3 linked regions of the Macaca mulatta genome follow. The protein of the gene in region 1 purifies or fractionates together with the protein of each later gene. This does not show direct contact. Links are inferred from orthologs where the notes say so. Each region holds a gene or a part of one and is shown on either strand. Other genes may lie near its edges.

Region 1 (4,320 bases):
GAGTTAATCAAAACAATGCTTCCTACCCTCCCAGTAACAGTATTTCTGGGCATAAATTGGATGCTCATCAATCAGGAGCTTCCTCTGCTGCAAATATTGCTAAGAAAATTAGTTCCAGGCCAAATAAGGTAACAGATACATAACTCAAGTGCTAATTAGCAATGATTTATTTTCCACCATGCCATAATCAAACTTCTATACACAATATCTTCATTTCATTCAATAAAACTTTGCTGCCTATGTCAACACTGTTTCTTTTTTAAAAAAAAATATGAACTAGGCCAGGTGCAGTGGCTCACACCTGTAATCCAGCACTGTGGGAGGCTGAGGTGGGCAGATCACGAGGTCAGGAGTTCCAGACCAGCCTGACCAACATGGTGAAACGCTGTCTCTACTGAAAATACAAAAAATAGCCGGGAGTGGTGGCACGTGCCTCTAATCCCAGCTACTTGGGAGGCTGAGGCAGGAGAATCGCTTAAACTCGGGAAGCAGAGGTTGCAGTGGGCCCAGATGGCCCCACTGCACTCCAGCCTGGGCGACAAGAGCGAGACTCCGTCTTAAAAAAAAAAAAATTATGAACTGTGTGACCTTGAGCAAGTTACTTAAAAATCCCACTTTCCTCATCTCTACAATGGGAATAATGCCACCTACTTCACTGGGCCATGAGAAAATTAGAAGAAATTATGTGTATAAAGCATGTATAAAGCATGTAGGGGCAGGTATACGGCAAGAATTCAATGTCAGTCCCTGGTTGTCCTCTGTCCCCTACCTTCACCTCTGACTTTGTTTACCCATGTAAACAAACTCACAAGCTATATAAGTGCTTTTAACTAAAAAGCCTTTACAAAACCATGCATAATACGTTAATGTTTTTTTTCTTTTTGTGAGACGGGGAGTGTCACTCTGTCGCCCAGGCTGGAGTGCAGTGTCGTGATCTCGGCTCACTGCAAGCTCCGCCTCCCGGGTTCAAGCCATTCTCCTGCCTCAGCCTCCGGAGTAGCTGGGACTACAGGCGCCCGCCAACACGCGCGGCTAATTTTTTTTTTTTTTTTTTTTTTGTATTTTTAGTAGAGACGGGGTCTCACTGTGTTAGCCAGGATGGTCTCGATCTCCTGACCTCGTGATCCGCCCGCCTCGGCCTCCCAAAGTGCTGGGATTACAGGCGTGAGCCACCGCGCCCGGACAATACGTTAATATTTCTAAAATTAATGTGACATGAGTCGTGTTGTATTATTTTTCCTAAGTCTTAGTCTTGTGTTCCAAGTATTACCCCAATTAGCAGTTTTAATTCAGCTAAACTACATTCAGCTAATTCAACTAGACTAAGAAGGATTAAGAATGGCACGACTTACAGCATTCTTCTTTGGTTAAAAACTGCAAATCCGTACATGTAGTGTCTGAAGAGTCTGCTATAAGTAATTCCATTTCTACCTTGAGTCAATCTCAACACACCTCAACAAAGTCTTATTACTTAAAAAAATAATACTGACAAATGATGCAACAGAGAATAATTTTTCCCCTCAAACACTCAGAAGCACCACCTTGAGATGAAATAAAGATACTGCCATAATAACAAAAGAATGCAAATGTCTAGGTACCAAGGACTTTCTTTTTGGGGGGTCGTTCCTGTCAGATCTTCCTCTAAAGGGTCATTTCCAGAATCCACAAAGTCCTAACGTAAGACCCCAGCAATTTTTCAAATTAACTCCCCAAACAACAAAGCTAAGCAAGTAAATGGAACCACAGTCCGACCCAAGACTAAGTTCTTGCTTCCCTTCAAGGTATTCAAAGTAGGAGAGCGGCCCAGAAGTACAGAATCAGTCCAAACTCCCAACACACCCAATGCAAAAACCAAAAAGGTATTGAAACTAAAAAGGTCTGCTACCTGGCGATTCATTCACTAAAAATATGCTTAGAATCTAAGCATATGCTCCAAATCTGCGTCCCAAGATTTGGAGGCTGCCACGAACATTTGGTGCCCTTATAACCTCCCCCTTTCTCTTTTTTTTTTTTTTTTTTGTAAAAGGGTAAGCACAGACCGTGGCCTCTACTGGGGCATCAAAACCACAGCAAAGGGTTTGCAAGTTCAGTCTAAAACGTAAATTTCGAGGTATTCAAAATCGAGGACCCTAGAGTGACACGCATAGAAAGGGTCAAAAAAACTTCGTATAGCAAGGAAGAAAAGTTGTAAGGGCGCTTGACTCTTCTAGGGAAAAGGGCTAAGGAGGCAGTAAGGAGGATGGGATGGGGTGAATGTGGGTCTATCGCGGCAGGGCAGCGAGGGCAGCACGAAGGCTGAGCCGGAGCGGGGGACCGGGCAGGGACCACACCTCCCAGCCAGCACGGCAGGCAGAGACCCGGCCGCGAGGCAAATCCGGGCGCGGGGGGCGGGGAGGGCACTCGCCCGCGGTCCACGGAGCGCAGACTGAGCCGCCGGCGGCCGGAAGCTGCCCCCGCCGGCCTGACCTGCCCGCCCCGGCCTCGGCGGCCCCACTCACCGATCAGCCGGCGCACCTCGTCCTCGCTCAGGTAGAGACTCACGCTGGGCCCCGCGGCAGCCGACTGCAGCTCCGGGGGCCGTGGGGCGGGGGCGGCGGCGGCGCCAGGCGCGGGCAGTAGCGGCAACAGCGCCAGCAGAAGCAGCAGCGGCGGCGGCGGCGGCGGGGCCCTCAGGCCGCGGGCCCCCGGGAGGCTACTCCGGCCCGGCCGCCCCAGCCGCGCCGCCCCGCGCATGGCCGCCGCCGCCGCCGAAGAGGAGCGTCTGCCGCCCGCCGCACCGCCGCCCACCCCCGGCCCCGAGCCGCTCACAGCCCCGAGCCGGGGGCGGCTGCCCAGCTCATCGCGCCGCCGGCCCGTGGCAGCCAGCAGTGGCTTCAGACCTCCAGAGCGCGCCGCCGCCGCCGCCGCCTCCTCGGCGGCATCGTCCGGAGTAGGGGGCTGCCCGCGGAGACGCGCCCGTGCGCGCCGCCACCTCCCCGGGAGCGCGCACGCACCGTTCTCTCTGTGCAGGCCGGGCTGGGCAGCGCGTTGGGGTTTTAAAGTGCCTCGGCGGGCGAAGGGCTCGGGTCACCCTCTCCCCAAGAGCCGGTCCCGCCCCACGCGGTCACCGCGTCTAATTTTTGCTTGTCTATTGTCTAACCCTCCTTTCCCGACGGAGGGGCCAGGCTGGAGCCACCGGCCGCGCCTGCAGCTCAGTGGGCGCCCCAGGTCCCCGAAAACGCCTGGATGCGGCCGTTCTGGTTTCGAAAGAGCAACATGCTTTCCTGTTTAGTGGGAAAACTCAAATTATATAGAAACCATCCTTTGTCTTACCGTCGGTGATCAACTTTATCATATCCGTATCTATTATTAGAATTTATACTACGTACATTTGTTTTCCAGAAAGATCTTAGCACGCTTTAGTAACCCTATTTTTACATGTTACAAAATTTTATTTTTCATATTTTCATTTGTTTATTTTGAGAAGTCTTGCTTTTTTCAGTCGCCCAAGGTGGAGTGCACTGGCACAATCTCAGCTCACTGCAACCTCTGTCTCCTAGGTTCAAGTGATTCTCCTGCCACAGCCTCCCGAGTAGCTGGGATTACAGGCGCCCGCAACCATGCCTAATTTTTTGTATTCTTAGTAGAGACGGGGTTTCACCATGTTGGCTGGGCTGGTCTCGAACTCCTGACCTCACGTGATCCACCGACCTCAGCCTCCCAAAGTGCTGGGATTACTGGCGTGAGCCACTGCGCCCGGCCAAATTGTTATTTTTTAATAATCGTTCTGCATCATTATAATCCACCTGCCTTTGGGGTTGTTAATCTGTGGTCCACACCAGGCTTCGACAGCCTTCCAATAATATGAAATTGTGTGCAGAAGTGTATGTGTCTCCGTGTGTATTTGTGTCCACGTCCATGTTTCTGTGTGTTGTATGTGTGTTTGAGTGCACACAGAGAGGTGGTATGTCATCATTTGTTCTAGGGAGTCCTTGTCCCCTCAAAGAGGTTAAGAACTGCAGATAGACCTCGTGTACTTAAAGGCGGTGGAGCCGGCCAGTGCATGGACTTCCGGGCCTCCTGATGTATTTTTGTGAGCCGCCCACCATCGGGGTCAAACTTGCACCAGTGCCCCCTCTCTTGGTGAGGCTCCAAGGGCCCCTGCCCTGTCCGGGGACACCTCGTCCCGGCGGACAGGCCCCCGTCCTGACCCCAGGGCTCTCGCGGAGCCCGTGCCTCGGGGAGCAGCTGCTCTCACGCTAGGCCCAGCTTCAGCACGCTCGATTGCAGTGAGGCCCTGGGAAGCGGCTATTTTTATCCTCAGGGAAGGGTAGGAAAAAG
Region 2 (4,206 bases), on another chromosome or scaffold:
GACAGGAATGTCAAGCATTTAAACAAAGACAGGCATCCTTCCCCCCCCTCCACCCACCGCCCCCCGCCCCCCCCCCCCCCGCAACCATCCAAAGTCTGAGCTCCCAAAAAAGGATCTTTCTCCCGCTCTCTGGAGTTTGATGTTCTCTCTTCACTACTGCAGCCCGTCACGGTTTTTCAGAACAGAGTGGCTTTCTGGGCTCTTGTGTGTTCCCCAAGACCCCGATAACCATGTCCTAACCAAGATGCTAAATCGCGAACCGGAGACACTTTCCGGGTGGAGGGGGTGGGGGGAGGACGTCGTCTGAGAGAGAGGGAGAAGGAGAAATCTATCCTGACACAGCTCGAAAAGCTCTCACGCGTGAACTGGGCATTAGTTAAGGGAGGAGGAAATTTACCAGCCCGAGGGAGGGAAAACAAGTCCCCCAGAGAAGAAGACGGAGGTACTCGCTGGGGGGCGTTGAGCTTTGGCTTAAAGAGGTCTGGCTGGGATTGGGCACACTTTGAGCGGCCCCTGGAGCTGAGGCTGGGCTTTCCCGAGCGCGGAGGCTGGCTGACGCTCCCTCCCGCCTCCTTACCCCGGGCCCTCCTCCCTCGCTCTCTCCCTGTGTGTAGTTTCGGCGGCTGGGCAGCTACTGCCGCCGCCGCTGCAGCAGCAGCGTCAGGGACAAGCCTGATCCGTGAGCGAGCGAGCTCCCAGCAGCAACCACCACTTTGGGCAACTTGCGGGTTTCCTGCTCGCGGGTAGCGAACGGGAGCTTCCTACTAGCGGTTCAGTGTCTCCGAGCCGCTGCAGCCTGAGTGGCGGCGGGAGCGCCCGCACCAGACTCTCCCAGACGCGAAAGGGACGAGACAACTGCGGAATTCACCAGCCGTGCCAGGGCACTTCCGAGGCCACAAACGACTGGCACTTTTTCTCCCCTTGGCAAACTGGATTTTTTTTTTTTTTTAAAGCTACTTGGCAGCTGTCTCTGACTCCACCTCCCCTTCCACCCCCGCCCCAAAGCCTTTGGCTTTTCTTCGGAAATCCAGACAGAATTGGGCATCTTTGTTAATTGCCGTTGGGGACGCCTAGCCGTGCGCTTTCGCCGGCTAACGTCGCCTGTGCTCCGAGCCTGGTTTGCTCACCTTTGAACTGCAAAGGGATCAAGTTCAGCTCGAGTTCCCTGCATTGGGACTAAGAGGAAGGAGAGAGAGCGTGCAAGAGAGCGAGTGGGAGAGGGGGAAAGGGGAAAGGAGAGGAGGGAGGAGAGAGAGGAGGGAGGAGAGAGAAAGGGAGGGAGGGAGGGGAGGGATCGAGAGAGAGCGGGGAGAGAGAGAGAGAGGCTGCAATCTCCTCCCTGAATCGCGCACAGCGCTGCAGATCCCACTGCTCCGACATGCGGGCCGAATGCAGGTGAGAAAAGGCACGGACTCTGCGGCTGCGAACCCAAACTTGGGCACCGCACGGTGCGCACGGCTCAGCCTTCGCCCCCGCGGGCGAAAGGCTGCTGCGGTTTCAGGCGGCGGCTTCGTGACTAATGACCTTGCGCAGAGTTGTTAAGAAAAAAGAGAAACCCGCGCTCTCCGGGGTGAGAAGGGACTGACTCTCTGGGCGTCTCTGAAGATGGCTCGGGCTTCTCTTTGGCGCGCCGGGGGGACCCGGACGCGGACCGCGCTGTGACGCGAGTAGTCTCCACTGCACCGTGCCCGAAGCGACGTGCCGGGGGATTTTTCATTCTCTATCTGTTGACTGGCTCCCCCGCTGCCTGAGCAGAGTCGGAGTTGAGACTGGCTTGTTGCTGGCCCCAGCGCCTGGTGCAGGAAGCGACTCACGTTTGCCTGGGCGGCCGGAGTCGGAGCAGAGCCTGGGTTTGGAGTGAGTGTCTGGAACGTGAATTGGACTCAACTCGAGTAGCAGCAAAGACCGGCGGGCTGGCAGGCGGGGGAGGCTGCAAGCTCGTTCCCCACCTCTTCCCAGCCCCACTGCCCGTCTGCCGGAGCAGTTCTGGCCCCTTCCGACAGAGCGGGGACGAGAGCCGGGGATTCTCCGCCCGCTGCGGGAATGACTCTGGGTGGGGGGGCGCCGAACCCGCGGCGCGCAGTGTCCCGTGAACTGTGAGTACTGCGACTGAACGGCGGCCGGCAAGCGGGCGATTAGCACCCATTGCATGAATTATGAAACAATAACTTTCGGAAGAAGCAGGAGAAAAAAAAAAGCATCTATCGCTGCCCTCCCACCTGCATTCCCGGCCGACTCTCCACGCCGCTTTTGCCCCCTCCCTCCCCTCTCTCTCGCTCCTTCCTTTCCGGGAGAGGGGAGAGGACTGGGAGGAGGGCAAGCGGCCGGCCCCGGAGGAGGGGGGCGCCGAGGGGGCTGTGGTTAGAAGGAGCAGTAGCAGCAGCAGCAGGAGAAGATGCTGAGGATGCGGACCGCGGGATGGGCGCGCGGCTGGTGCTTGGGCTGTTGCCTCCTCCTGCCGCTCTCGCTCAGCCTGGCGGCCGCCAAGCAGCTCCTCCGGTACCGGCTGGCCGAGGAGGGCCCCGCCGACGTCCGCATCGGCAACGTGGCTTCAGACCTGGGCATCGTGACCGGATCGGGTGAGGTGACTTTCAGCCTGGAGTCCGGCTCCGAGTACCTGAAGATCGACAACCTTACGGGCGAGCTGAGCACGAGCGAGAGGCGCATCGACCGCGAGAAGCTGCCCCAGTGTCAGATGATCTTCGACGAGAACGAGTGCTTCCTGGACTTCGAGGTGTCGGTGATCGGGCCCTCGCAGAGCTGGGTAGACCTGTTTGAGGGTCGGGTCATCGTGCTCGACATCAACGACAACACGCCCACCTTCCCGTCGCCCGTGCTCACGCTCACGGTGGAGGAGAACCGGCCGGTGGGCACACTCTACCTGCTGCCCACCGCCACTGACCGCGACTTTGGCCGCAACGGCATCGAGCGCTACGAGCTGCTCCAGGAGCCCGGAGGCGGCGGCAGCGGCGGCGAGAGCCGGCGCGCCGGGGCGGCCGACAGCGCCCCCTATCCCGGGGGCGGCGGGAACGGCGCGAGCGGCGGCGGCTCGGGAGGCTCCAAGCGGCGGCTGGACGCATCAGAGGGCGGCGGCGGCACCAACCCCGGCGGCCGCAGCAGCGTGTTCGAGCTGCAGGTGGCGGACACCCCGGATGGCGAGAAGCAGCCGCAGCTGATCGTGAAGGGGGCGCTGGACCGCGAGCAGCGCGACTCCTACGAGCTGACCCTGCGGGTGCGCGACGGCGGCGACCCGCCTCGCTCCTCGCAGGCCATCCTACGGGTCCTCATCACCGACGTGAACGACAACAGCCCCCGCTTCGAGAAGAGCGTGTACGAGGCCGACTTAGCTGAGAACAGCGCCCCGGGGACCCCCATCCTGCAACTGCGCGCAGCTGACTTGGACGTGGGGGTCAATGGGCAGATCGAGTACGTGTTCGGGGCGGCCACCGAGTCGGTGAGGCGACTGCTGCGCCTTGACGAGACGTCCGGCTGGCTCAGCGTCCTGCACCGGATCGACCGCGAGGAGGTGAACCAGCTGCGCTTCACGGTCATGGCCCGCGACCGTGGGCAGCCCCCCAAGACCGACAAGGCCACCGTGGTCCTTAACATCAAAGACGAGAATGACAATGTGCCATCCATTGAAATCCGCAAGATTGGGCGCATCCCCCTCAAGGACGGGGTGGCCAACGTAGCCGAGGACGTTCTGGTCGACACCCCCATCGCTCTGGTGCAGGTGTCCGACCGAGACCAAGGCGAGAACGGGGTGGTCACCTGCACCGTGGTGGGCGACGTGCCCTTCCAGCTCAAGCCAGCCAGCGACACCGAGGGCGACCAGAACAAGAAAAAGTACTTTTTGCACACCTCGACCCCTCTGGACTATGAGACCACCCGGGAGTTCAACGTGGTCATCGTGGCGGTGGACTCAGGCAGCCCCAGCCTCTCGAGCAACAACTCCCTGATTGTGAAGGTGGGAGACACGAACGACAACCCGCCTGTGTTCGGCCAGTCGGTGGTGGAGGTTTACTTCCCTGAGAACAACATCCCGGGTGAGAGGGTGGCCACAGTGCTGGCGACAGACGCAGACAGCGGAAAGAACGCTGAGATCGCCTACTCGCTGGACTCCTCTGTGATGGGGATCTTTGCCATCGATCCCGATTCTGGGGACATCCTGGTCAATACGGTGCTGGACCGCGAGCAGACTGACAG
Region 3 (4,285 bases), on another chromosome or scaffold:
CCCAGGCTGGAGTGCAGTGGTGCTATCACTGCTCATTGCAGCCTCCACCTCCTAGGCTCAAGTGAACCTCCTGCCTCAGCCTCCCAAGTAGTTGGGACTACAGGCACATGCCACCATGCTCAGCTAATTTTTTGATTTTTTGTAGAGATGGAGACTTACTAAGTTGCCCAGGCTGGTCTCCAACTCCTGGGCTCAAGCAATCCTCCCACTGCCTCCTCAGGTGTTGGGATTACAGGTATGAGCCACTGCGACTGGCTAGATGTTTTCTATTTTAGAACAGTAGGTTGCCAGCAAGTTTACGCTTACACCAATCCAACAAAAAGTGCAAGGACAGTTCAAAATATTACATTTGCTGTTTCAAAGAAGAGTGCAACTCCAAAGAAGTCAGACTCATTACTAACAATGCAGAGCTAGACATCAATATTTAGATAAATGTCAGAAACCGAATTCCCCTTGTTGCCATCAAACATGTCCTTTCATTAGTCACACCCAACATATCTAAATAAAGTTTTCAAAATTAATGTTAACAAAAAATGTATCCAAAAACCTGCCAACTTACTCAAAGGTTTGTGCAAGTCTATTTTTAAAAATAATACATTAGGCAAACATGGTGACAAGCTTTATGTTCTATGTATCAAGGCAAAAACAGACTTGACCTACAAAATGAAGATAGGGTCAACTGTAACCAAAAAACAGTATGCTTCCCCCTGGTGGCCAACCAAAGAATGGAGGAGCCAAGGATACGAGAGAAATAGCCAGGCCACCTAGTTCTATTGTCACTCTTACAAATGAAAAGAGACTACCCAAAAAAAAAAAAAAAAAAAAAAAAAAAGAATTGGGGGGTCGGAGGGGGAGGGGAAAATACCAAAACACTAACATGTGCTTAAAAGGAATACAAACCTGAGTGCCAGACTACATAAATTTAAAAGATTTAAATCAACAAATCAAAATTTAGAAGGCAAATTTGGGAAACGTCGTCTATTTTCAGAGCGCCCAAGCGCTCACCCCGGACCTCCATGTATTTTCATTTAAAGGTACAGAGTTTAGTACCTTAATAACAGCTTAAGAGCATTCCCCTTTTTCAAGGACTAGATCCTTGGAATTTTCTGCAGTCTTGTTTCCAAGGAAAAGCATCTATGCATTTATCTTCTCAAATCAACTAGTGGTATAACCTGCATAGAGAATCTCCCGTTCTAGAGTCCTCCAACCAGGGAGGATTGTTAACTACAGCTTTACAAATTGCTCTTTTGAACTTCATTTCTGAAATAAAACCTAACGTTCTTTAAAACATTTTCTATATCAACAACCTTTAAAGACAGTCTCATACAAAGACGGGCTAGAATATCTTGCATTAAAATCTGACGAATTCCTTTGTCTGATTGGATTTTTTTTTTTCTTGTACCACTTTAAATTTGCTTCCACACAGAATAACAGCCCGGGAAATAGATGTTCCATTCTAAGGTGTAGGGATTTCTTGTGGGCGGAAATGATTTGTTAGGCGAAAGCTTCCGATGGTTTTCAATTTCACAGTGTCTTCCGGTGCCGAAGTCCAGCACCAACGCCTGGTTCTGGGGTCCGACCGTCATGCAGCGGTCGCCTCACTCCTTGTGGCTGGACGAGCCCGAATTAGCTTCCTCCCAGGAGCTGCTGCTGCTGCCACTAAAGCGCCGCCGCACAGCCAAAGGGCGTTCCTTCCTCTCCGCTTCCCAGAGACCGCGCGGCCCTTCTCCACCACCGCCAGCATCCGTGGGGACGAGGACCGGACGAAAGTGGCTGGCACCCGAGGCTCCTGAGGAGGGGGCGCCGGGCCCGGGACCGGGTGGGCGCGGCGGGAGCCCCCAGGCGCCACTTCGAGCTCGAGGAGACCCAGACTGAGGGCGTGGAAGCGCTTCCAGCCACCAGCGCCGAGTCCAGCGCAAATTTGGCTTTCGTCGCCGCCCACACTTCACTCGGAACTGTCTTATTTTCACATTGCTCATTGCAAATGTATAGAAATGCTATTCCCTCGTTTTTATTTTCATTTCCCTCTCCCATTGGGCAGTCATTCTAAGGTGTTTAACATACATTTTTGTTCTCTTTAAGGCTGTATCTTCTGTTTCTCAAACTGTGGAAAGGGTATTACATTGTATGTCCACTGCTTGGCTCTTTGCCTTCAACATCCGTTCACGCTGCTCGGCAAGCAGCAAGGGCGTGGTGTGAAGCTGCCGCCCAGCGCTCCACGGTGAGGTCCACACGCGGCTCGCCTCCACCTGCAGTGACTTGGGGCGCCCAGAGCGCGCCTCCGGGATTCCTACATTCCCCCTCCAGCACCTGGTACCCAGGAGCGTATTGTGGCCAGCCTAGTAAGGGTCAAGCAGCATCTTGTTGTTTAATTGCCATTCTTCTAGTTAGAAATGAGTTTAAATATCTCTACATACGCGTTTCAGCCTTGTAGTATCCTGTTTAAGTTAACGCAGAACATTCCCATACGAGTTCCCAAAAAAGTAAGAGAACTTTTGAAGGTCACCTCAAGATCAAAACACTCCCCTCCCTCTCTCAATAAAGACCTTACTTAGCAAAGCCAGGAGGACCCACTGATACGCGGGTGAATCATTTTCCTATTTTCCCCATTCCCTGATTTTCTTCTCTGCTCCGACCCCTTGGATGATGCAAGAGAGGAGCAGATTACCGAGGCACTGAGTGCGCGACATCCAAGGAAGCACCGTTTCCGCTCGCACAGGTGCCGACCCTGCACAGGGCAGGCCTTCAATATCAACCTGTTGCATCGGGGACTCCGCATCTCACAAAGGAGGGGCGCTTGAAAATAGAGCCTCCAGGCCCGGCGCGGTGGCTCCCGCCTGTAATCCCAGCACTTTTTAAGGCCGACGTGGGTGGATCACGAGGTCAAGGAGATCGAGACCATCTTGGCTAACACGGTGAAACCCCGTCTCTACTAAAACTACAAAAAATTAGCCGGTCGTGGTAGCGGGCGCCCGTAGTCCCAGCTACTCGGGAGGCTGAGGCAGGAGAATGGCGTGAACCCAGGAGGCGGAGCTTGGAGTCAGCCGAGGTCGCGCCACCGTACTCCAGCCTGGGCGAGAGCGACACTCCGTCTCAAAAAAAAAAAAAAAAAAGAAAAAGAAAAAGAAAAGAAAATAGAGCCCCCAGCCCCCAGGACGTCGCGGTCCCCTGGAGGGGCGCTAGGGAACCAACCGCAAGGACCCTCTGGCGCCAGGCGCCTCCGCCCCAGCCCACCCCAGCCGCCTCCGCCCCAGCCCACCCCAGCCGCCGCCGCCCCAGCCCACCCCAGCCGCCGCCGCCCCAGCCCACCCCAGCCGCCGCCGCCCCCTACCTGCGGTCATCAGTGCGCACCACAGAAGCAGGGGCGCCGCGCACGCGGAGGAGGCAGCCCTCCACGCCATCGCCACGGCAGCAGCTCTGGAATTTTTTTCGCCGAGTGGGACCAGGCGGCCCGGTAAAAACCAAGGGCCGGGGGAGCCCTCTGTTGCGTGAAGAGTTGACGGAGACACAGCCGGGATTTCCAGCCGGCGCTTTTGCACATCCCACTTCTTCGGGTCCCTTCGGCAACTGCGAAGTCTCCGGGATTTCCAGGGTTCGCACTGCAGGAAGCCAGGCGCGTGACCAGCCCCGCCCGCGCCTCACTTTCGCGCCAGGGCGCACACCGGCGGGAGAAGCCTCCCTCGTCCCCGCCCACGGCACGAGGTTGCGCGGTTACAGCCCCGGTGCCTCTCGCGAGCGGCTCTGCAGTCCAGGACTCTGGGCATCCTCTGAGTTCGCTTAGTAAATTGAGGCCGGGATCCAAGTGGCCCGGAGCGCTGCTCTAAGGAGGATGCTGACCGCAGTCAGTGATTGCGAGAGCAGGTGCACGCGTCCAGAGAGATATCTTACCGTTGGCACGATAAACTTACATTACTTTAAAAACCAAAAGCAACAAAACCTTAGCATTGAGTCGAAAGCCAAATTAAATCCCCAGGACGATTCAGTTAAACGCCTGAAGGTGGCCCTTAATTTCCCATTTCTACTAACCAAGAAGTGGTTTGCGACCTCCTGAAGCAAACCCAAATATTTTCATTGGCTGTTTAAGTTTTACCACCTCTAGACCAGTTTTTAAATCAATTTAACCGCAAAGTTCAGAACCCAAGTGGCACTGTAAAGTGTGTGCATTTGTAACGCACAACCTGCATTCTTTCCCCAGCAACCTGCATTCCATTTGTCTCATTGACCCTACTGCATTTTTCCTTCGCATCATTAAAAAGGATGTAATGTACAGAAAAGCACAGACCTA

The links. Proteins that work in one complex are often made in the same cells at the same time.
Region 2: the proteins of RYK (region 1) and PCDH7 purify together in Homo sapiens (affinity purification with mass spectrometry; 3 studies listed by BioGRID and IntAct, with this or other methods). This does not show direct contact. The link is inferred for Macaca mulatta from reciprocal best matches to the Homo sapiens genes RYK and PCDH7.
Region 3: the proteins of RYK (region 1) and NCR3LG1 purify together in Homo sapiens (affinity purification with mass spectrometry; 3 studies listed by BioGRID and IntAct, counting the BioPlex papers as one, with this or other methods). This does not show direct contact. The link is inferred for Macaca mulatta from reciprocal best matches to the Homo sapiens genes RYK and NCR3LG1.

The regions. Positions count from the first base shown.
Region 1 is NC_133407.1:37,290,904-37,295,223, forward strand, and holds the start of RYK (tyrosine-protein kinase RYK), read right to left. Parts: upstream 2,891-4,320; 5' UTR 2,734-2,890; coding exon 2,499-2,733; intron 1-2,498. UniProt on the Homo sapiens protein: May be a coreceptor along with FZD8 of Wnt proteins, such as WNT1, WNT3, WNT3A and WNT5A. Involved in neuron differentiation, axon guidance, corpus callosum establishment and neurite outgrowth.
Region 2 is NC_133410.1:29,848,836-29,853,041, forward strand, and holds the start of PCDH7 (protocadherin-7), read left to right. Parts: upstream 1-1,327; 5' UTR 1,328-2,395; coding exon 2,396-4,206.
Region 3 is NC_133419.1:48,113,543-48,117,827, forward strand, and holds the start of NCR3LG1 (natural cytotoxicity triggering receptor 3 ligand 1), read right to left. Parts: upstream 2,880-4,285; 5' UTR 2,766-2,879; coding exon 2,669-2,765; intron 1-2,668. UniProt on the Homo sapiens protein: Triggers NCR3-dependent natural killer cell activation.